Zea mays: one gene and its partners. The protein of the gene in region 7 binds, or shares a complex with, the protein of the main gene of each other region. Links are inferred from orthologs where the notes say so. Each region holds a gene or a part of one and is shown on either strand. Other genes may lie near its edges.

The links.
Region 1: oxygen evolving enhancer protein 3 containing protein (region 7) and NAD(P)H-quinone oxidoreductase subunit T, chloroplastic share a complex: the UniProt entries of both Arabidopsis thaliana proteins name them as parts of the chloroplast NDH complex. The link is inferred for Zea mays from reciprocal best matches to the Arabidopsis thaliana genes PnsL3 and NdhT.
Region 2: oxygen evolving enhancer protein 3 containing protein (region 7) and Photosynthetic NDH subunit of subcomplex B 5, chloroplastic-like share a complex: the UniProt entries of both Arabidopsis thaliana proteins name them as parts of the chloroplast NDH complex. The link is inferred for Zea mays from reciprocal best matches to the Arabidopsis thaliana genes PnsL3 and PnsB5.
Region 3: oxygen evolving enhancer protein 3 containing protein (region 7) and NAD(P)H-quinone oxidoreductase subunit M, chloroplastic share a complex: the UniProt entries of both Arabidopsis thaliana proteins name them as parts of the chloroplast NDH complex. The link is inferred for Zea mays from reciprocal best matches to the Arabidopsis thaliana genes PnsL3 and NdhM.
Region 4: oxygen evolving enhancer protein 3 containing protein (region 7) and NAD(P)H-quinone oxidoreductase subunit O, chloroplastic share a complex: the UniProt entries of both Arabidopsis thaliana proteins name them as parts of the chloroplast NDH complex. The link is inferred for Zea mays from reciprocal best matches to the Arabidopsis thaliana genes PnsL3 and NdhO.
Region 5: oxygen evolving enhancer protein 3 containing protein (region 7) and NAD(P)H-quinone oxidoreductase subunit S, chloroplastic-like share a complex: the UniProt entries of both Arabidopsis thaliana proteins name them as parts of the chloroplast NDH complex. The link is inferred for Zea mays from reciprocal best matches to the Arabidopsis thaliana genes PnsL3 and NdhS.
Region 6: oxygen evolving enhancer protein 3 containing protein (region 7) and NAD(P)H-quinone oxidoreductase subunit N, chloroplastic share a complex: the UniProt entries of both Arabidopsis thaliana proteins name them as parts of the chloroplast NDH complex. The link is inferred for Zea mays from reciprocal best matches to the Arabidopsis thaliana genes PnsL3 and NdhN.

Annotation. Positions count from the first base shown.
Region 1 is NC_050099.1:14,035,810-14,038,941, forward strand, and holds NAD(P)H-quinone oxidoreductase subunit T, chloroplastic, read left to right. Parts: upstream 1-1,373; 5' UTR 1,374-1,484; coding exon 1,485-1,825; intron 1,826-1,981; coding exon 1,982-2,402; 3' UTR 2,403-2,632; downstream 2,633-3,132. Other genes in the region: Pyruvate kinase 1, cytosolic, read right to left, coding at 2,814-2,969, 3,059-3,115. UniProt on the Arabidopsis thaliana protein: NDH shuttles electrons from NAD(P)H:plastoquinone, via FMN and iron-sulfur (Fe-S) centers, to quinones in the photosynthetic chain and possibly in a chloroplast respiratory chain.
Region 2 is NC_050098.1:158,250,019-158,253,256, forward strand, and holds Photosynthetic NDH subunit of subcomplex B 5, chloroplastic-like, read right to left. Parts: upstream 2,071-3,238; 5' UTR 2,028-2,070; coding exon 1,758-2,027; intron 1,541-1,757; coding exon 1,486-1,540; intron 1,326-1,485; coding exon 1,257-1,325; intron 1,167-1,256; coding exon 1,108-1,166; intron 892-1,107; coding exon 655-891; 3' UTR 501-654; downstream 1-500. Other genes in the region: putative transmembrane protein kinase family protein, read left to right, coding at 1-37. UniProt on the Arabidopsis thaliana protein: NDH shuttles electrons from NAD(P)H:plastoquinone, via FMN and iron-sulfur (Fe-S) centers, to quinones in the photosynthetic chain and possibly in a chloroplast respiratory chain.
Region 3 is NC_050097.1:23,630,826-23,633,841, reverse strand, and holds NAD(P)H-quinone oxidoreductase subunit M, chloroplastic, read left to right. Parts: upstream 1-1,329; 5' UTR 1,330-1,497; coding exon 1,498-1,953; intron 1,954-2,162; coding exon 2,163-2,339; 3' UTR 2,340-2,516; downstream 2,517-3,016. Other genes in the region: uncharacterized protein, read left to right, coding at 1-184, 408-528, 715-786; uncharacterized LOC100502247, read right to left, coding at 2,742-2,819. UniProt on the Arabidopsis thaliana protein: NDH shuttles electrons from NAD(P)H:plastoquinone, via FMN and iron-sulfur (Fe-S) centers, to quinones in the photosynthetic chain and possibly in a chloroplast respiratory chain.
Region 4 is NC_050103.1:163,552,443-163,555,363, reverse strand, and holds NAD(P)H-quinone oxidoreductase subunit O, chloroplastic, read left to right. Parts: upstream 1-1,209; 5' UTR 1,210-1,361; coding exon 1,362-1,560; intron 1,561-1,672; coding exon 1,673-1,836; intron 1,837-1,949; coding exon 1,950-2,009; intron 2,010-2,113; coding exon 2,114-2,143; 3' UTR 2,144-2,421; downstream 2,422-2,921. Other genes in the region: Phosphatidylserine decarboxylase proenzyme 2, read right to left, coding at 238-317, 511-696. UniProt on the Arabidopsis thaliana protein: NDH shuttles electrons from NAD(P)H:plastoquinone, via FMN and iron-sulfur (Fe-S) centers, to quinones in the photosynthetic chain and possibly in a chloroplast respiratory chain.
Region 5 is NC_050100.1:42,420,517-42,423,221, forward strand, and holds NAD(P)H-quinone oxidoreductase subunit S, chloroplastic-like, read left to right. Parts: upstream 1-1,284; 5' UTR 1,285-1,325; coding exon 1,326-2,033; 3' UTR 2,034-2,205; downstream 2,206-2,705. UniProt on the Arabidopsis thaliana protein: NDH shuttles electrons from NAD(P)H:plastoquinone, via FMN and iron-sulfur (Fe-S) centers, to quinones in the photosynthetic chain and possibly in a chloroplast respiratory chain.
Region 6 is NC_050098.1:176,087,766-176,091,037, reverse strand, and holds NAD(P)H-quinone oxidoreductase subunit N, chloroplastic, read right to left. Parts: upstream 1,932-3,272; 5' UTR 1,865-1,931; coding exon 1,511-1,864; intron 1,141-1,510; coding exon 1,024-1,140; intron 912-1,023; coding exon 826-911; intron 721-825; coding exon 651-720; 3' UTR 501-650; downstream 1-500. UniProt on the Arabidopsis thaliana protein: NDH shuttles electrons from NAD(P)H:plastoquinone, via FMN and iron-sulfur (Fe-S) centers, to quinones in the photosynthetic chain and possibly in a chloroplast respiratory chain.
Region 7 is NC_050102.1:1,245,645-1,248,521, forward strand, and holds oxygen evolving enhancer protein 3 containing protein, read left to right. Parts: upstream 1-1,389; 5' UTR 1,390-1,486; coding exon 1,487-1,793; intron 1,794-1,880; coding exon 1,881-2,269; 3' UTR 2,270-2,377; downstream 2,378-2,877. Other genes in the region: vegetative cell wall protein gp1, read right to left, coding at 555-1,157; kinesin-related protein11, read right to left, coding at 2,724-2,877. UniProt on the Arabidopsis thaliana protein: NDH shuttles electrons from NAD(P)H:plastoquinone, via FMN and iron-sulfur (Fe-S) centers, to quinones in the photosynthetic chain and possibly in a chloroplast respiratory chain.

The DNA of each region.
Region 1 (3,132 bases), on a different chromosome or scaffold from region 7:
AAATTGCTCCAAGCCAAGCACGCTTAACTTGGAGGTTCTTTCAAGATAGGCTTCCGAAAAAGAATATGCACCTTGTTGGTATGATTACACTATTAATTCTATTAAGCCTTGGGCCAGGACATCCCATCCCAGGGGCCAGGATATCACAATCCACCCCCCTTAGAAGACCGACGTCCTCGTCGGTCAACCCCAATCCAGGAACCTCCCCTCTTGGCCACGTCTGTATGTCTAGTGTCGTCATATGCCATGCCATGTGACCACTCCGGGCCCAGATGCGCCATGCGCCATATACCCGAACCCCCTAGCCCACACACGCCCGTGAAACCGCGAGGGTCGGCTCTGATACCACTTGTAACACCCCGTCCAATCCCTGGACCGGCGGTACTTACTCCTGGCAGCTCTCTAGGATCATATATTGTCCCCACATACCAACACAAGTCTTTTGTGCGCACTTTGTCCTCACTCATGCGCACCCGAGAAAACTTCCCGGTCGGTCACCCATCCCAAATTGCTCCAAGCCAAGCACGCTTAACTTGGAGGTTCTTTCAAGATATGCTTCCGAAAAAGAATATGCACCTTGTTGGTATGATTACACTATTAATTCTATTAAGCCTTGGGCCAGGACATCCCATCCCAGGGGCCAGGATATCACAATTTGTTCGGTTATTTTCAATCTATAGATTGGAAGAGATTGATACGTATTGAGAGAGATTTTGACTTACTAAGGATTGAAACCCTTTAATCACCTTCAATTTATATGGATTGGCATAGAAGGGAAGACCCCTCTCCCTCCCTTTCAACTACACTAGTTACCAATGGCACAAATCTCGTAGCATCTGCAGTGGCTACCAATGGCACAAATCATGTCTTGTATCGGGCGACAAAACCGCTAGTCACAAGAGTGCTGAGGCCAAAGCTGAGAGACTGGAGACGGCAGTAACGAAGATCCAAGCATTGTTGCCGTTTCAAGAAGACCTCTCCCTGATGATACCGTGGAACGCAAACCTGATGCGCGTTATCATGGGAGGCGACACCCAAAATCCTGAATTACAAAAACATTATTAATTTAATCACAGTTAAAAATTACAACAAGGGGATGTAGCTCAAATGGTAGAGCGCTCGCTTTGCATGCGAGAGGTACGGGGTTCGATCCCCCGCATCTCCAAACTGTTTTTTACCCCCCTTGTTTTATTTTTTTTACCTCTTCTCCCTCATTGTCACTTGGTCAGTACTCAGTACTACTCAGGATAACTGTGCGGACGAATTCGATTGCGTACCGTCTAAACTGACAGCGCAAGTGTTCGTGCGGCGGGAAAATTTCTGCAGTTTCATTTCTCGTTCGGAATATGGTTACCGTTCCTTTTTCTTTTTGTACATGTGGCCATTGGCTAAGTGAACAGCGACACCTCATCGCCTCGCCCTCCTACCACGACAACTGGAACGTGCGAGCCTCATCACCTCCCGACTCCCCTCCACGCCTTGGAATGCTGCCTGCGCAGACGCTAACACACACGTTTCCCATGGCAGCGTCCACGGCCTCGCGCATCTTCACGCCCTTCCTCCACCGGCACCAGCGGCGCACGAAGGCAGTCGTGGTCGCAGCCGCGAGCCCGCCCGACGCCGAACCGACTCCTGCGACGGCGGACGGTGCAGGGCCGGGGAAGAAGAAGACGGTGGACACCAGGATACACTGGTCCAACCCCGACGAAGGGTGGGTAGGAGGCAAGGCCAAGAAGGAAGGCGACGGCCGCGGCAGCAGCAAGAACGAGCCGTTGGGAGGGAGGTTCGCGGACCTCATCAACAACGCGGCCGAGTCTCACTACCAGTTGAGTTCATCTCCAATCCATGCTCATATGTCCTTTTGGATTGCCGTCCAGCTGTACATAAATTTGTAGAGCTCTGTTCGAGACACTGTCATCATCATGTCAATACTTTGTTACTAACGGCGACACATGACTGAACTGCAAAATCTATCACCCAGGTTCCTTGGCATAGCGCCAGAGGCGGACATCGAGGAGATCAAGACGGCGTACCGGCGGCTGTCCAAGGAGTACCACCCGGACACGACGACGCTGCCGCTCAAGGTGGCGTCGCAGAAGTTCATCCGCCTGCGAGAGGTGTACAACGTGCTGAGCAAGGAGGAGACACGGCGGTTCTACGACTGGACACTGGCGCAGGAGGCCGAGAGCCGCCGCCTGCAGCAGCTCAGGTCCAGGCTCGAGGACCCATACGAGCAGGACATCATCAACTACAAACCCGTGCCAGACATGGTTGACCGCCTCGGCGGCAAGAACATGAAGCTTAGCGATCAGGCCATGACTGCGCTCACCATCGATATCGTTATCATCATCATCTCCATCTGCTGCATCATCTATGCTGTTTTCTTCAAGGAGCAGTACTGACAGCAGCATACCAGCAACAGCAGCAAGGTTGCAGGAGTGTACCATAGACAGAACATTATAGGTAAATTAACTGATAATGCCCTAAGATTGTCTTTTGGGATGTTATCATGCACTGCATCATGTAATGTCCAATAGAATAAGGTAGGAACGACGATTATTCATGGTTTGTTGCCAACAATCCTATATTTGCATAATCAAATCATAATTCCAGTATAAATCTGTGACATCATAATTTATTGCGTCAAATCAAAAGACAATCTGAAAAGAGGGCAAAATTCCCTAACAAGATATCTTGTGCTCTTGCTGTACTCTACTTGGAACTTGGTTAAATAAGTGAGATGGAACTGGAGGTAATCTCCCATGCGATACATGAAACTACAGCATGGGTTGTAGGTATCAATCATCTAATGCCTAACCTTCACACTCAATGATCTTGACAACAGAAGAATCACCAATCTTTTCAAAGATTATCAACCTGTCGAAAGGCTTCACTATGCCAACCGACCGACCATAGCTCATCGCAAGTTTTATCCCATACTCTTCCTTTGTTAGCCCACCAGTTTCGGCCTATTACAGAGTTTTAAGCATTCATGGTTAGCCATATGTTTTTTTACATGTAACTCTAATGTTAGGGAAAAATACAATTGCTTACATACCTCATCAGTACTCCCCATCAAAGGGTACACGCCTCTCACTGCGAAACATTGTCTTGCCTGAAAGTGGTTTAATA
Region 2 (3,238 bases), on a different chromosome or scaffold from region 7:
GACTCTAGGCAGTCAGCTCTTCAGAACATCCAGGTGAAACAAACATCAGTGGGATGTGTAGTCTAGAAGAAAAGCTAGTTCTCTCCTCCTCAGGGCAGTAGACCAGCCTTGTTCTCTTTCGGAATTCGGGAAAAAAAAGAAGAGCCCGTCTTCATAGCGAGCCAGCTGCATCCCAAGTGTAAAAAAAAAAGAGAGGAAACAGCTGCGAGGCTTACCCTTTTTTTCTCCCCAGTTTTGTTACCCTGATGGTTCCTTCCTAATTCTCCCTTTTCTGCACATGTTTTTAGGGGAATTAATGACATTTTCCTTTTGTTGAATAATAATAAGAATGGGTGGGTGGTGGCAAACCAGCGGCTCTTGATTGTTCAGCGCATCAGTCTTGCATGTGTTTTTTTTTCTCTTCCCTTCAAAGTATTGGAGAAAACATGAAAACAAAGGCAATTCATGCAGAAAGTTGAAGCAACAGTCTGCAGAACATGTCGTGTATTATATGGCACGAGGATAGAACAGATTTTCAGGCTCTCCAGTCTTACAGGAAGGATGGCTTTCCTTTTTATTCAAGAGATTTTCCTAGCAGCTACAGCTTCCTTTCACAGGGTTTTTTTTGCTGTGAGGCAACAATCTGAAGGGCAGCGAGCGGTGTACGCAATGCATCTAGGTCGACTTGACGATGTCGTCCCTGGTGTTGACGGTGAAGTCCCAGAGCTCGCCGTACTTCTCGTTGAAGTCCCAGATGTCCATGGAGTTGTAGTCGGCGATGAGCTTGTCGCGGGCCGACCTCTCCATCATGTAGATCTCCGGCTCGAAGTTGTGCGGCTTGTCGGGCTTGCCCATCTCGATGACGCAGAACACCACGATGAAGACGGCCGCCCCGATGTACAGGTACTCCCCCTGGCGACACAAGCAGACGCGTCTCCGATCCGATCAGTAGATGCAGGTGACGAGTTTTTTTTTTTTTTTTTTTTGGGGCACAAATGCTTGGAGCGCAGGAATTTCACAGGAAACAATTCACTTTCCCGACAGAAAGCACAATTCACTTCCGACCAGGAAACTTCGTGTTCCAAACAGGGGACTAGGTACTGGGAGGAGGAAGTGCTGGATCCTTACCGGCACATTGAAAGCCATGCCGAGGATGATCGCAGGAGGAAATGCCCAGGAGATGAGTGCTGCAAGAGATCGCCGCCATTGATGCAGTGCAACAAATGAGCAAGGCAGAAGCATAAAGATCTGAAAGAGCTACACAGTAGTGGTAGTACCTTGAAAGCCCTGAGGAGGCTCAGCTTCTTGGTACCACTCGGAGACATCCTCCCAGAAGCCCTTCTTGTCTTGGGAAGAAAAGCGGGGGGTGTTGCGGTTGTTTGCAGGTTTTTGTTTCACCACAGCACAAAACAATCAGTGGACTATTATTTCTTTTTCTTTTTGCAATGAAGGATATCATATCATGAACAATGGAGTTCTTATTTTTTTCTGGGAGGATAGTAATACCTTGGCCTTCGAAATAGGTGTGGTGTCCGTCATACTTCCCGTACTCGAAGTCCTCCTGCAAGACAAGACAAGACAAGACAGATCCTCTCCAGTGTCATCCACGAACGAACGAACGAAACGTACTCCGTTCTTCAGAGCTCTCGTTCATAGCACAACCTACGTCAAGGTTCACTGCTTTCCTGCGTGTTCCTAGTCTAACTAACTAAGCGCGGAACGACAACCGAGAAGAGAAGAGAAGAAAAGGAAGGAAACGAGGGACGACGACGACGGACCGGGCTGATGCCGTTGGTGCGGTACACGTCGATGGCGTCCTCCTCCAGGTCCGGCTCGATCTCCGACAGCGGCCCAGGCCCGGCCCTCACCACCACCGCGCCGCCGCCCGGCCTCCTCCCGACACTCGAACGCCGGCGGCCGGCGTGCAGCAGCTGTGGCCGCGCCGCCGCCTTCACCCTCAGCTGCTGCGGCGCTGCGTCATGGCGGCGCCGAGCGGTGCTGGGCGCTGCAGATGGCGAGGCAGAGATGCCGGAGGACAGGCTGCTCATTATCTCGCCGCGGTGCTGCGATCGCTGCTGAGTGGTGACTGGTGAGTGCTCCAGCCCCCGCTGCTGGCTGCTGCTGCACTTCACGTTGCGGCCAAGAGACAAAAAAGCAAGCGGATAATGGTGCGCTGGAGTTGGACACCTACCGTCCAGGATTTTTCCGCTGTCTTTTCCTGTCCCTTTTTTCGTTTCTGGAAATAATCAGCTCATAAAAACTCGGTACGATTCTGTGGAACTGAACACCTACGGACGTCCCACAGTAACCCCTCCCCCCGCCAAAAAAAATCGTGATTCTGTGCGCTATATTTGTAAGAAACTGTCGCATGTGCTTTGGTCAACGGACACCAACAAAACAAGTGAGAACTCACTCTTTGTAGGATTATCTGTAACCCTGTCCTTTAAATTTTTCCATGTATATGGAGTGGTTCTTTCTAAATTCTCTCATACACTACACAACGATTTTTTTATAGCGACCTATGGTTGGTTGCTAGAACGTCTTCATCAACCTAGGGTTTAGGGTTTAGATATACACAGTTAATTAGTAGTACAATGGTGCTATGTTTACAAATAAATATACAGTACTAATTTGCATGTAAAGCTCTAACTGAATTCTTACCAAGCATCAATGGACACTAGAACATTTGGCGGCCTTGGGGTGCCCTCGAGATTGCGATGTCACAAGAAGACCCGCACATGACATTGTTACAGATCAGATCCTTAAGCCTAGTAATCAACAAACCAGTTTCTTAAATTAGTATTATACAAAAAAAATGCAATTGCTCCCAGTTCTTTTGGTATCAAGACAACATAGTCCCCCATCTTCATAGTAAGAGAAAAAAAGGCTAGCATCACTGCATCAATAAACTGCCCATGCATTTTTTTTTACTGTAATCGAACGATGAGTAAAGCTCTGACATCACCAGTACTCTACTCGTGAACGCCTCGAAGCCCTGCCTCTGTCCTTACCAGTTGGCGGAGAGTCAATGTGACTCAACTTCAGTCTGGAAGGTGAAAATAAAGCAACAAGACACAAATAAAATGAAATCACGTTGCTGCACTGAAAATACAGAGATGATTTCGTGCATAATCTCTCATACCGAACGTAGCAGAGCTGTCGTGGTACTCAACGGGTGGAGTAGCAGAGCTGTCGTGCTGTGGCATGCTGTTGGCGAAGACGAGAAGAACCAGACAACAACTCTGTGCGGATGGATAGC
Region 3 (3,016 bases), on a different chromosome or scaffold from region 7:
ATTTCCACGAGAAGGATGCGCGCAGCTATGACGCGCATGGCCCTGCTCCCGCCCTCCCCCTCGTCCGCCTGAACCACGTCTCGTTCCAGTGCGAGTCCGTGGAAGCATCGGTCGGCTTCTACCAGCGCGTGCTTGGCTTCGAGCTCGTCAAACGCCCGGCGTCCCTCGACTTCGGAGGAGCATGGTGAGCAGCCATTTCGCACTACATATATACCACTGCCTAGCTAGTGCCTGTTTCTTGTCCATCGATTTATTATTATTATTATTATTATTATTATTATTATTATTATTATTATTATTATTATTATTATTATTATTATTATTATTATTATTATTATTATTATTATTATTATTATTATTATTATTATTTTCGCCAAGGTGAGGTCAACTCGTTGCGTGCTTTCCAGGATGCACAGGTACGGCATGGGGATATATCTACTGCAGCGCGGCTCGGATTCGTCGCCCAACGCTCCGGCAGCTGCAAGACCGCCGGCGATCAACCCCAAGGGCAACCACATTTCCTTTCAGGTGACCACCAGAGCGCTCTCGCAGAATTAAGAAACTGGATAGGCAGCCAAATTTAGTCCAATCCAAGCAGAGAGGATCCTTGCTCTCGCGCAGAGTTGACCTGCTTAGTTAGTACGAGTACTTAGTAGTAGCAGTAACCAGTAAGCACCCGCTGATCGGGTGTGCTCGTTTGGCAATGGCGTGCAGTGCACGGACATGGGGCTCATGAAGACGAGGCTGGGTGACATGGAGCTGGAGTTCGTGGCGGCGCGGGTGTGAGACGGCGAGACGGTGGTGGAGCAGCTCTTCTTCCGCGACCCAGACGGCAATGTGGTCGAGGTCTGCGACTGCGAGAAGCTCCCCGTGATACCCCTCGCAGATGCAGGCAGCACCGGCCTTCTTCCAAATACGCTGCTGCTGCCGGTGGAAACGAACTTGCATGGCTAGTTCGTGGTGCTTGCTCATTGGTTGCTTAGCACGATTATTTGATTCGTGTGATTAGATTTGTGAGCTGTAACAATACTGTAATAACAGGCAGTTCTGCACGCTATTGTACATATGTTGCAAGTGTCCGTACGTAGTGTAATGTGTATGTACAGGTTCGGAGATTGCCGGGTTAGGCGTCTTCCAAGCTGAATTTACGTAGTGTTGTGCGTAATGCTTGTGCAATGGCGATGAAAGCTGGTGCTCTTCAGTACTCTGTGCGAGACTGACGACAAACCGCGTACCCCGAAATCGCAAGGCAACCGCCGCACCAGCGTTCAGAGCCCAATGAGTCTGGAAGCCTGCTTGGCCCAATGGTGCGCTGTGCAAAAGTGCAAACCGAAACCGAAGTCAGTGGCAGAAACGGCCCTTATCCACACACACAAAAAAGTACGCGACACAAGCCACGCTCTCCGCTTGTGGCTAAGCTGCTGCACGCGCGGAACGACAAAAATCCAGCACTAGCCAAAGCACAGGCGAAGAAGCAGGCGAGAGGCCACCACAAACATGGCGACCACGGCGTTTCTACCCCCGGCCAAGCTGCCGCTGCAGGGGCGTCGGTTCGCTAGCCCCAAAACGGCGGGACGTATCAGCGTCAGGGTCCCTCCGGCGCGAGCGCAGCAAGAGCAGCAGGTGAAGGAGGAGGAGGCCGAGGTGGCGAGCGTGCCGCCGCCACAGGACGCGGAGAAGCAGGCGAGGAAGGGGGACGCGCAGTCCCTGCCGCGGCAGCCTTTGGCGGAGAGCAAGAACATGAGCCGCGAGTACGGCGGGCAGTGGCTGAGCAGCACCACGCGGCACGTCCGCATCTACGCTGCGTACATCGACCCGGTGACCAACGCGTTCGACCAGACGCAGATGGACAAGCTGACGCTCATGCTCGACCCCCAGGACGAGTTCGCCTGGACCGACGAGGCCTGCCAGATGGTCTTCAACGAGTTCCAGGACCTCGTCGATCACTACGAGGTAACCTCTGTAGTTGCTCCCACTCCAACAGCTCCGATAGTAGATAAAAAAAATTTGAATTGAATCTCTTGTTGTCTGAAATTCGTACGGTCATTTCCCCCCTTTTCATCTACTTTAGAGCCACTCCTGCCAAAAAAATAAAACATACGGTCTTGGCAAAAGAAGTGATCGGTAAGAGGATAGCTGAGCTCGTTTCTGCTTTGAAACAGGGGGCTGAGCTGTCGGAGTACACACTTCGGTTGATCGGGTCAGACCTTGAGCACTACATCCGCAAACTGCTGTACGACGGGGTGATCAAGTACAACATGAGGTCCAGAGTCCTCAATTTCAGCATGGGCAAGCCTCGCATCAAGTTCAACAGCAACCAGATACCAGAAAAGATATAGAATGTACTTATCCAACGCCCTTAAAAGAATGGTTTCTCTCCATTCGATTACCGAGCAAGATGTATACTCTGCAGTCCCAGATACGATCCAGAGCATTCCAGAATTCATATTACGCAGATGCAAAGCCATACACCGATTCTGTTGGCAGAATTTTGTCACCCCTGCACAGTAATAACCACATAACGAGAGTCTGGGCAAAATAAGGGTTTGCTCGAGTTTAGATACCCCTTCTGTTTCTAGGGCACTCGAATTGGGTTACAGTACACAATACCATAGTTTCTGCTAATAGATACGTATCACCGAATACCACATGAGGTCAGAGAGTTGCACAGAGACGACCGCGCTAACTTACCAAACGACTTTCTGAACTGGATGGAGTAATGGCTAGTATGGGTAAACCCTCTACAAACATTCCATGACAACTCGGTACTTTTTAAATTCATCGCTCCATGGTCTGAATTGGTCTTCTAGCTCAATGTTCTACAGAAGCATAAAGATACAGTAAGGGCTAGTTTGGGAACCTCAATTTTCTAAGGGATTTCTATTTTTCCATGGGAAAATGAACTAATTTCCCTTGGAAAAATAGAAATCCCTTAGGAAATTGGGTTCCCAAACTAGCCCTAAATAATTAAAATTAGGGAACACCACCATGCTATGCTGCTGCTGAGTACTTCGTC
Region 4 (2,921 bases), on a different chromosome or scaffold from region 7:
CGATATGGTGGCTCATAACTGGCTGAGGTACTTATCAGCAATCCCGCGTGCGGCGTGGAAGTTAAAATTTACTAGATCGGAGGGCACAGCCAGAGGGACATTTGAGAGTTACCAAGTCGAGGGACACACAGCACGCAGACATGAGAGCGAGACAGGGATATTCTTGCACAGAGGAATGGAAATGGAACAGACATAGGACGAGTATTCGAGCAGTAAATAAAAGCAAGGGCGACGCACTTGTCGGACGTCTCGGTGCGGTACGTGCGGTCGCCGAGAGAGAGGCACGCGAAGAACTTGTCCTTGAACTGCATATCCGCCTGCGCCCGGAAACCGAACAGGAGGATCAACCATGGCGAGTCAAAGTCAGAGTCAGAGAGGCAGAGACAGTGATGCGATACGAATCGAAACCCACGGATTCCGCCTCGGCTGGCCGCGTCGAAGCGGGGAGCGAGACTCGGTGCTAAGGAACATGCGCGTAGCAGCGGAGTTCGCAGCGCGCGGCCCACGTACCTTGGCTATCCGGACGCGTGCGATGCCGGCGAACTCGTCGGCGGCGAGGGCCTTGGAGGAGACCGAGTCGTCGCCGGCGCCGCGGCGCAGGCGGTTGCGCAGGCGGCGGCGGAACCGCGCGAAGCGCGAGGGCAGCGCCTCGCCGGCGCCGGCGCAGGCAGTGGGCCGCGACGCCGAGTGGCCCATCCGGACAGGTTGGTGGGGACTGGGGACGAAGACGGACGGGACGGCGCGGCGCGGCGCGGCGCGCCTTTTGCGGGACGGTGGTGGGCGCGGCGTCAGACAGACAGACAGACGCCTAGGCAGATGGTGGTTGGAAATGGGCCAAAAGTAGAGTCCCTTTTGAATCCAGGCCAACCGCCTGCCTGCCTGCCTGCCCGCGCACGCCGGTTCGTCGCCCGGCCGCGGGCCCCATCGCCACTTTGATAACTCGGTGGACCCACACGTCAGAGGGGTTTTGGAAGGTGTGTAAGGATGGAAGTCAAACCTGTGTTGATGGCGCTGGTGGGACCGGACAAGGAAGATCCACCTGCGTGCGCTGCGCACTGGGGGGGCGCCTGCCTGGCTCTTGGATCCACCCATTTCCCATCGTCGTCTTCTTTTTCTGAATGGGAATCTCCACTTCTTGGTGGTGGCAGGTCATGACAGCAGCCAAAGTAGATGATGATTCCCCCCCCCCCCTCTCTCTCTCTTGCGCTTGCAATGGGAAGCAAATGGCCAACCAATAGCAAAAAGGCAGCCGTGTATCGATCGCCTTATCCGGGTCCTGTGGCACTGGCACACCGCGCGTCCGGATTTGGCTGAGTAGCTGACTAGCTGAGCGAGCAATCCATCCCTTCGCCCGCCGCACCATGGAAGCCCTCGCCTCGGCGCCTCGGGCGCTCTTCCCGCGCGCGTGCCCAGTGGCGACGCCGGCCGGCCCAGCCCGGCGCCGCTCCGCCGCTCCTCACATCTGCAGGGCCTCCGCGGCGGCCGGGGAGGAGACGACGCCGCCGCCGCCGCCGGCGGCCGCTCCCAAGAAGATCCTCAAGAAGAAGCCCGTCTACTCGAGTAAGACGACGACAAGACCCCCCCCCCCCCCCCCCCCACCCCCCCCTACTTCTCCCTCTAGCTCTCGCGCGCGCGGCCATGCATGCATGATGAAACTGGCTGAGCTTTGCAGTGAAGAAAGGGCAGATTGTGCGCGTGGACAAGGAGAAGTACCTGAACAGCATCAATTATCTGTCAGTGGGACACCCGCCCTTCTACAAGGGGCTGGACTACATATACCAAGACCGCGGCGAGGTCTTGGATATCAGGAACTTCGAAACAGGAGAATACGCCCTGGTAATGAAAACTACTTCCATCCGCGCATGCTGTGTTCAGAGTTTCGTCATGCTTTCTGCCTCCACCATACATGTTCAGAGTTTCAGACCAACGCGCGCGTGCATGCATTTCAGATCGCTTGGGTGGGGATCCCGACGCCACCGGCATGGCTACCAACCTACATGCTCATCAAGGTAGCTGATTCATCCCCAGTTGGATCAATCTGTACGTCATGCACCACTCGTCTCACCTCGCTCTCGCTCTCTGTCTCTGTGGCATGTGATTTGTTGCATTGCAGTCGGACAAGCTCGACTACGAGAGGATATGATGGCCGGCCGGCGGCCTCGCAGGGCACCGTAGCGCCGCCGCCGAATTCATGCTTCATTTCGCATCAGGAGTCGGCCAAGCAGGACACACCTCTTGTTGTTGACTTGTTGTAGGTATATACGTACATGCCAGTATTGCCAGAACAGTCGACAGAGGCAATCTGAGACCTCAGCTGCTGGAATAATCAGGAAGTAGATCGAGAGCGACGTACGATGACGAGATTCATAATTGCTGCTGCACATCACTTCTTTATGTTATTTAAACTCACATTTCATAATTAATACTAATAATATATTGTCTCCGTTCTTGAATATTTGTCTCGTCGATAGTTTATTTTCGAATAAAAAACGACAAAATAAAAAAATGATAGTGTACCGATTATGAAGCAGCCACAAACAAAGGTTTATAATATACCTTTCCAGCATTTATATTATGGGTCAAAGTGTATCATCACGCACACGCCTCTGTCTACACTCCGCAGCTAGCCACTGCTGAAATAAACAATGTACAATTAGTCAGGGAGGGAAACAAGGTTGAGCCATCTTTAGATAATCTCTAAGACCGTGTCAACCAACTCCCCTATCTCATCTCATATCACATCCCTTATTTCAGACTTTACTCTATAAACAATGATAAATATTGTTATTTACAGTATCATGTCCTCTATTTTAGGGGATCCACTGAAGACAGTCTAAGTTAGTGTTTAGAATGGCTCGATGCCAAGAAACGACTTTGTTCGAAAAAAATAGGGAGTTGGATGGTTCAAGATTTGATCATAT
Region 5 (2,705 bases), on a different chromosome or scaffold from region 7:
AAGGATTAGAATATGGAAGGGAGAGAAGGAAGGGGAGGGACAGACACTGGCTTAGACTGTGTTCACCGCTTACCGCCGGAAGGCCCCCTCCCCTACGATAGCGGCTACAGGAGCACCCTAAAACGTTCAATGGTTAACTCTATCAAGCACCCTACGCTGCCGTTCCCCCTAGCAAGTTTCTTTCTCCCCCTCATTCTGTCGTGCATCTCTCACCCCCTCTAACACTGTTTACGTGGGCCTACTTCCAATTATTAGTAAATGAAAAATTGATAGGAGATAAAAAGAAGGTATAAAAAATGATATTTTATGGTTGTAGTGGGGTGTAGGGGAAAAATTTAGGGGGAACCGCTGTACAGGGTTAAGATATAGGGGGAAAGAGAACGCTGACGTGACACGTGAGTGAGATATAGGGGGCCAAATTTAGGGGTAACCGCTGAAGACAGTCTTAGAGAGGACAAAGTGGAAATTGAGCGGAGCCGGAGCTGCCACGAACAGTGACTTGTCGAGAAAGATGAGATGGTGAGAGAGCTGAAGCGCAGGCGTAGCGAGCGATACTATTATCGCGACCATGACGTAAGCTACGGATTTGTATATGAAAGTGAGTATGTATACAGAAGATAGCAATGATACATCGTCTCGTCCTAAAAGCTGTCGTCGTAAACGCAAAAACATTGACTAGTCATAAAATAAACGAGCCACATTAAACTTTGCGGAAAAGGGAAAATATAAATACGCACATAGCATTTCACATCCTCATTTTGTGTGAATATATTTAATAGTTTTTCTTCTATTTCAATGCACGAGTACATTTACCAGTATTTTATTTATTTAATATAATTATTATTGGTTTACTAAGTAGTTTTTAAAGAGCTCTCGAAGATGCTTTAATTATTTTAAATTAAAATAACCTGTTTCAGTCTCTCCAATACAGAGTTCGATATGCATGTGTAAATATGATCGGAAAACCTTTTTTCTCATGTAGGAGCTAGTTTGAAAAACTTATTTTTTTTCCAAAAATTTATTTTCTCAAATAAAATTAGTTTATTTTTAATCTAATCTAATAATAAAGTTTCCATACTAACCCTAATAATAAAAAACAGGACAGAAAAACTTCTGTCGGTTACGTCAACCCCCTCGATTCAGGTTCAGTACCGCCACACACAACATAGCGGCAGGGCCACGTGGCGCTGACGCCTCATCCCCTCTCCGTTTTCCACCGCCACTCATCCACAACTTTTTTCTTTTTCACTCTGTACAAACTCATCCACAGCTTCCCGACTTTGTCTGTTCTGCTTCGCTCGCGGGCGCTCATCTCCACTCCTCCGATGGCGCCGCCACCCACCAGCCCCTCATTCCTCCGCCCGCCGCCGCTGCCACACCACCCGCACCCTCGCCTCCTTTTGCGACCTCCCTCCGCCTCTTTCCGCGTCGCCGAAATACTCGGCGGTCGGGGCCTCTGCAATGGTGAGGTCGGCGTCCGCAAAGAACTCGCATCCGGCTCCACCACCTCCTCGCCCGCGCCCTCTCCTCCTCCTTCGACAGATTCTCCTCCGCCCGCGGTTGATCCGGACGCGTTCGAGAAGGAGATGATGGGCCTCACAGGCGGCTTCCCTGGCGGTGAGGTCGGCCTCAAGGACTTCGTAGCCAAGAACCCGCCTCCTCCCAAGAAATCAGAATCCCAGCCCCAAGCCACGCTCTCCGCGCCGCCGCGGCCGCCGGAGCTGCCGCTGTTCTTGCCCGGCATGGTGGTGCTGGTCAAGAACCCCAACAACGCCTACCACATGTACTGCGGTATCGTGCAGCGCGTCAGCGACGGCAAGGTCGCGGTGCTCTTCGAGGGAGGAGTGTGGGACAGGCTCATCACCTTCAACCTCGACGAGCTCGAGGGCAGGGAGAAGGGACCCCCTATGGCCAACCCCAAGTCCGTGGTGCTAGAGGATCTTGTCGCGGAGCTCGAGGATGACGATGATGATAAGGAGGACGAAGCGGCCAAGAAGAAGGAACCGGAGGGCGCGGCGGCGGCGGCGACATGACCAGGCTTCTTGTTCCTGTTATACACATCCTCTGTATGTATGCATGTATACAGCTCAAATAAAATATTTGGAGCTAATTAAAAAGGAACGATAATATAACTCTTATTATGAAGTATATAGTTTGAATGTTAGTGTGAATTGGGGCATGGAAGAATTGCCATACGTTTGATCACATTTGACCTGGATGGCTTCTCTTGGATTATTAACTTCTAATTATGATAACAATGAGGATGCCACAAGACTTTCAGTTCTCTGAGATCTGTATGTTATGGCCATATTATGCACTTAAAATTTTGTAGCTGTAATGGTTATCAAGTAGGATTAGGATGCCAATTTAGCTAGAACATGTTTTCTTGCATGAAACTGGTTAGAGCAGATCAAATTGTCAATTTAGCCACTATGTCGCCGTGTTGTTAAATCATTACTTTTCATTCGGTTTTAACTGGCATCAAGGTTTATCTTCAGTGTTCTTTTGCTTCGATTGTTGATCACTTGAGCACTTCTGGAACTGAGTTACAGAAGGCAGGATGGTATGGATCTGGTTAACAAGTCTACAATGTGTATGTTTGGTTTATATGAAGAGGATTTGTGCTAAAGTTTCTTATCCGATGCTTAACCACTCGATGCAAAGATGTGTCGGTCTGAGCCATATAATGGAAAGATGTTCATTTT
Region 6 (3,272 bases), on a different chromosome or scaffold from region 7:
TTTTGGATAGAAAATTAGAAGATAGGGGAAGAATCTGAAGAAGGCTCCTCGAAGAAACTTCTTTACCTCCCATCCACATGTGGTGTTCTAGTTTCTGATATGCGTTTTTTTTTTGGGTTAATTCATTCATCTTATGTTCGTTGCTTCTGTGTGAGGGGAAAGCACTTCCTCGCTCTACTCGTGCGGAAGCGATCCATTCTTTCGTGTCCAACTCACACGTCAAGAATATCGAAATGTGGACCCTTTTCAGCGCGCTCTTTAATTCAGCTTACCTGAGCATCAATGGTGAAGGAAGAATGCAAGCTCATTGACCAAGGTGGCAATGATGTCGCCGATCCACAACGCGATGGAGACGAGGACAGTGATCTCGTGTGCCTGCGCTCTCGTGTTCGGCTGTGCGCCTGGGTTCTGAGAATCCTAAACGCGTCGCGGCCGTGAACTATTCACATGTATGGAAATCTGTACATGGTTCGCATTCTTTCTCTTCTGACACTCGTGCCAAAAAAATGTATGTATATCTTTATTAATTGCCTCTCTCATTCAGTGCAAAGCTGCAGGAATGGCAGGGAGAGATGTCCCAGAAGCAATTGGAGAGTGTAGCAGTAGCAGTAGCCAGTCTGGTAGACAACTAGCTAGACCTGCTTGCTTGATCATTCCTCCGCGTCCGGGTCCGGCTCGAGGCCTGCGATCTGCTTCAGTGGCTTCCAAACAAAGCTTCTCCTGCACGCGTGCAACAGGGCCACACGTACGTAATCAGGCCTTAGCCACAAGTGGTCCCGTGTGGGAAATTTAGACATGGAGGGAGGTAGAAGGAAGCGCATGTACCAGTTGCCGCATTCTGCGATCACCCTGACTTTGGGGCGGATGTCCGGGAGCATGGCCAGGAACTGCAGCTCAGCCTTGGACAGAACCTGCACGTAGACCAGACGAGAGGCCCGAAGAAGAGGTTCAGGAACAGAGCACTCGTCAGTGGTGTGCCGATCGATGGAGGCGCGTGCATGTAGATGTAAGCAGGCACCTCACCTTGGCTTCGATGATCCAGACGACGAGGCCTTTGGCGTCCGGGTGCAGCAGGCTGAGCCTGTAGTCCACCTCCGGCGGGAAGTACCACCGCGCCACCGGCTGCCTGCCGAGGCTAGGCTGCAGTCACCGCACCGCCACTCCAATCGAGTCAGTTCGTCGATCGACCGCTCGGTTCCCGCACGCGACGAAAGGACACGGCACAGCCACAGCAGCAACAACAAGCAAAGAAAGAGAGAAGGGAACGTATGTCGTGCTCACGTGATGTCCGTGCTCATGTGAGCACTTTAAATCGTGAGTGTTCTTTCTTAATCCAACGATTAGTGCTTTTTATTCACTTAAGTCCTCTCACCTTAACGATGAGTGTTCCTGGCCAGCAGCATGATCGTTAGATTAAGAAGGAACACTCACGATTTAAAGTGCTCACATGAGCACGGACGTCGCGTGAGCACGAGATACGTTCCCAAGAAACTAAAGGCGTGCTACGTACCGGGCAGACGGGGTGGACCTTGGTGAGCGTGGTCTCCGGGTCGCCGAGCCCCCGCGCGGAGAGGTCGAGGAAGTAGTAGCCCTGGTAACGGAGGCGGTTCAGGTAGCGGCCCTCGTAGCCGCCCTCGTGCGGCGGGTAGATGGCCAGCGCCTTGTGCTTCTCCACGTCGTCCAGCCACTTGCCCAGGTCCGGCCGCACCAGGTCGCCGCCCACGAAGTCCCACACCGTGCTGCGCACCGACACCGACCCCCGGCCGCCCCGCGACCCGCCGCGCCGGCCGCTGAGGAGCGAAGGCGCCGGGACTGGGGACACGGACACCGCGCGCGCCGCCGCCGCCGTTGCTGCCGACCACATGGTGCTGCTGCCTGCGGCCGTGCGTGTGGGTGGGTGGGAGTGGAAGTGGGACTGTGGGAGGAGTCGCTTGATTGCTTTTGAGCCTGTGGCGGGAAGATGGCTTGCGCTGAAGCTGAAGTGGGGAGGAGGGGTCGCGGATAAGTCTCCAATCCAGGCCGTAGGTTGGTCTGTCAGCCGAACTGCCCAAGACTGAAAGAGCAGAGTACATGTGTTACCACTTACCAATCTGTATTCAGATTCTACTCAGAGATCGCACACAGTACGGATACGTGAATTTTCTTTAGATCCAAACAAAATATTAAAATGCATTAAAAGTTACATAGATCATTAATCCTGTTAAGGCCTATTTTAGAAACTTTAGTTTATTCAGACCCGCCAATTCTGAAGGTGATTTGTGTTTCCAAAGTCTAAACTGTCCCAAAAGAATGTCATCAACTGGAAACCCACGTAAATGCATTTGTTTTAGAACGGAGGGAGTAAAATTTCGGTGTGGATCACGTTGACTTCAGAAGTTATTTGAAAAATTAAAATATAAAGAACTTAAATAAATATTTAGGCATATAACGATTTGAGGACACCAGCTTAAAAAACCTTTTAAATTAAACAGTTAGTAAAGTAGGTCACGCGCTCTTTTTGCTTTTTTTAAAGAAAGATGGATGTTGTGCATCATTTGTTGGGATGGTCGTGCTTAGTCTGTCCCAGCAGGGTTCCAAAATTTTATCCACTAAGATAATATTTCTAGTCTTTCACATCACCATTTAAAAGATTCTATCATGTATATTTTTCATGCCTTCAGCAGCAGCAACCTCTAAATTTTATCATCTATATCTCATCATCTATTTTTTTCCAGCCATATTAATGAGAAAAAATTCAAACGATATTTTTTCCATTCACCAATTGTGTACTCCCTCCGGTCCTGAAAAAGATGTCGTTTTAGACAAGGTTTGAGTGAAACATATAAAACTTTGACTATAAATAATAGTTTTGAAATCTAATATATATATACATATATATATATCTTAAAAATCACTTTTACAAAAGTATAAATATATTAAGAGTTTATTTGTATTTACAAAAATATTGGTCAAAGCTATATTTTGAAGACCGTGTTTATGTTCTAAATGACTAGCTTCTGTTGCATCGGACACTGGTCACTAGAAAAACAATCCTCTTTTAGTTTGTTCCTTATCCGCCACTAGGCAAGGCTATAGAGGAAGTTCGCGGTGGTGACAACATAAGAGGAAAAAGATGGCGCGCATGACAGGACGGTCGTGGAGACCAGTGGCGAACGCAGGATAAAATTATAGGTGGAGCAACATTATAAAAGCTAAATCACTAGATTAGATCACAACTCACAAGATAAAACTAGTTTTATGATGACAATATGGAGGATAAGTAATAATACTAG
Region 7 (2,877 bases):
GCAATTGTATTCACGTTTAGAGAGAAGCACCGCTGTCTTGTGCTCGGCTCGATAGATGCAGAGTGGAGGGTAGATCTGTGGAGCCGCTGCAGGAGCTGGGGAATCTCTCTCCAACGGCCCAAGGTGGTCAACAGCAAGTCCATGGTCAATTCATGTTAATCCAGCCGACATGCAGAGGTGAAAGGGCAGTGATTCCTAGTACTGCTACACACTGAATTTCGCCGCGAAACGCTAGAGAATTCTTAGGAAAGAATGCAGATTCTGCACAGTACAACAAACTGTAAAGAGAACAGCAGAGATTAGGTTTTTTTGTTTTATTTTTTAATTTTTGACAAGAGAAACGCGCGCGCGCGCAGGCTGATTCTGTGGGATCCTGACGGCGGCGACACTGAAGAATTCAACAAAATTGCACCTGAATTAGAGATGGATTAATTATAGGATAAACTGAAGAAACAGTACATCAGCAGACGGCGGCGGCTAAACTCCTCTACCAAATCCACAGCTATTGCCCTGCTCTGAGACTGAAGCAGTCGGCATCTACGACTACGATTGAGTCAAGACGCCGTTGGGCTGGGCGCCTCTGGGGCGGGCGGCGGCGCATCAGGCGACGGCAACGCAGGTGGTGGAGGTGACGGCAGCAGCTGGTCCGGCGGCGGTGGCGACGCGATCTCCGCCAGCGGCGGCGGTGGTGACGGGAATGCCGGCGGGGGCAGCTGCTGCTCGGGAGGTGGGAGCACGGGCACCGGCGGCGGCGGTGACTGGAATGCCGGCGCGGGCAGCTGCTGCTCGGGAGGTTGGAGCACGGGCACCGGCGGCGGCGGCGGCGACAGAGGGGTGTCGGGCACAGCCGTCGGCCGTGAGGGCGGCGGCGGCCAGGCGGCGGCGTCCGGGGAGGGAAAGGCGGGATCTTGCGCGGGCGTGGGCGTGGGCGGCGGGCGGGCGGCCGTGGCGGGCGAGCGGTATGCGGGGTCCGTGTCGGGCAGGACGGGCTGGCACGCGTCGGCGGCGGCGCACGCGGACGATGCGGAGGCGGGGCTGGACTTGGCGGCGCGGTGGAGGACGGCGCGGAAGGCGAGGACGACGCCGACGACGGCGAGGGCGGCCAGGAGGGCGAGGAAGATCTTGGTGGCCTTGCCCACGTAGCAGCCGCCCCGCATGGCTGGCGGCTCTGGCTGCTCGTCCTGTGTGCCTGTGTCTCGTGGCCTTCCTTGGTTTGGTGGTGGTTGATGGCTGGTGGGGCGGTGGTGGCTGAGGGAGTGAGTGAGTACTCAGTAGTGGAGGAGTGATCCAGATTTGAATCGTACCAAAAATTACAGGCCAGGCCAAATTCATCTTCAACTGCAAACCTCATCAGGAACGGAAGGATGTCGGAACGGCCAGCAGCCGCTTTCTTCCTTTTACTTTTTTCTGATATTTCTATCGGCTACGATCTCATGCGTTAGCGAGTGCCGCCCCGCCCGCGCTATCCACTCGTCTCTCCGTCCCCATGGCCACTTATCTCAACGCACCGCCGGCAGCCACCACGACGACTGCAAGCTGCCGCCATGCCTTCTCCGGTGGCAGCCTCCGTCTACTCCGGCCGAGCCGACCGACGCTGCACGTGACGTGCCAAGCCGCCGCCTCCTCCCAGCAGCCGTCGTCCCCGTCCAGGAGGTCAGCCTGCCTCCTCGGCATCGCGTGCGCCGTCCTGCTCCGCCCACGTGCCGCCTCCGCCGCCGAAACCGACGACGAGCCGGCCAACAACGGCTGGTGGCTGACCGAGTTCCCCTTGCCCGTGCCCAAGATCGTCAACAGTAAGCCGTCCCGTCCGTCCTGCTCCATCCACCACTTAACTTTACTTGGTTCACTGACAATTGTGTCGGCGATGAGTGGCATGGCAGAGGAGATCAACAACGCGGAGACGGGCACGCGCTCCTTCCTCAAGAACGGCATCTACATGGCGGACATCGGGCCCAGCTTCGCGGCGCACGCGTACCGGCTGCGCAGCACGGCCTTCGACCTGCTGGCGCTGGAGGACCTGCTGGGCAAGGACGCCTCCAACTACGTCAACAAGTACCTCCGCCTCAAGTCCACCTTCATGTACTACGACTTCGACAAGCTCATCTCCGCCGCCGAAGACAAGCCGCCCTTCGTCGACCTCGCCAACCGCCTCTTCGACAGCTTCGAGACGCTCCAGGAGGCCGTCACAGCCAAGGACGACGCCAGGATCGGCGACCGCTACGCCGAGACAAAGCTCATCCTCCAGGAGCTCATGGCCAAGATGGCCTAGCAGAACCACAATTTTTCATTCATATATCATGATGTGTAAATGAATACTTGAAACTCACAAGGGGTATTGCAGAATTCCCAGAGCAGGGAAATACAATTATCATGTCAGGCTGTGTGCGTGTCCGACAACGGGTACACAGTTGTTTACATACACGCCCAGCTCAGCTCAGAGGCATTGGGCATTGGGCAAACGACAAATCAAGACTACGAATGAAAGCAAAAAAATTGAAAATGGCAACACATCCCAACATACAAATCAGATCAGGTCCTAAGATTAATATAATAGGCCAGCACACCCACCGCTGCCAGCCGTTAGCGCAATCAACAAGGCCACAAACCAAATAAAATTGGCAACTCACACCACCTCCAGACAAGGGGATGCAAATGATCGGTTGCATCACCAAATCAACACACACACAAGCATTACACTGGCAGCTCGCTTCCGCCGTATTTCATCATTGTGAGCTCCGCATCTGGGTTTGGCGCCTGGGGATCCCGATCTCACAGGAGTTCACCCTTGCAGCAAACCGCAATGAGCAAAGAGACTCCCCTGTCGAGGACGCTTCAGGAGACAGATTCACAAACATCAGTGTCTTCGAGTCCCCTCCG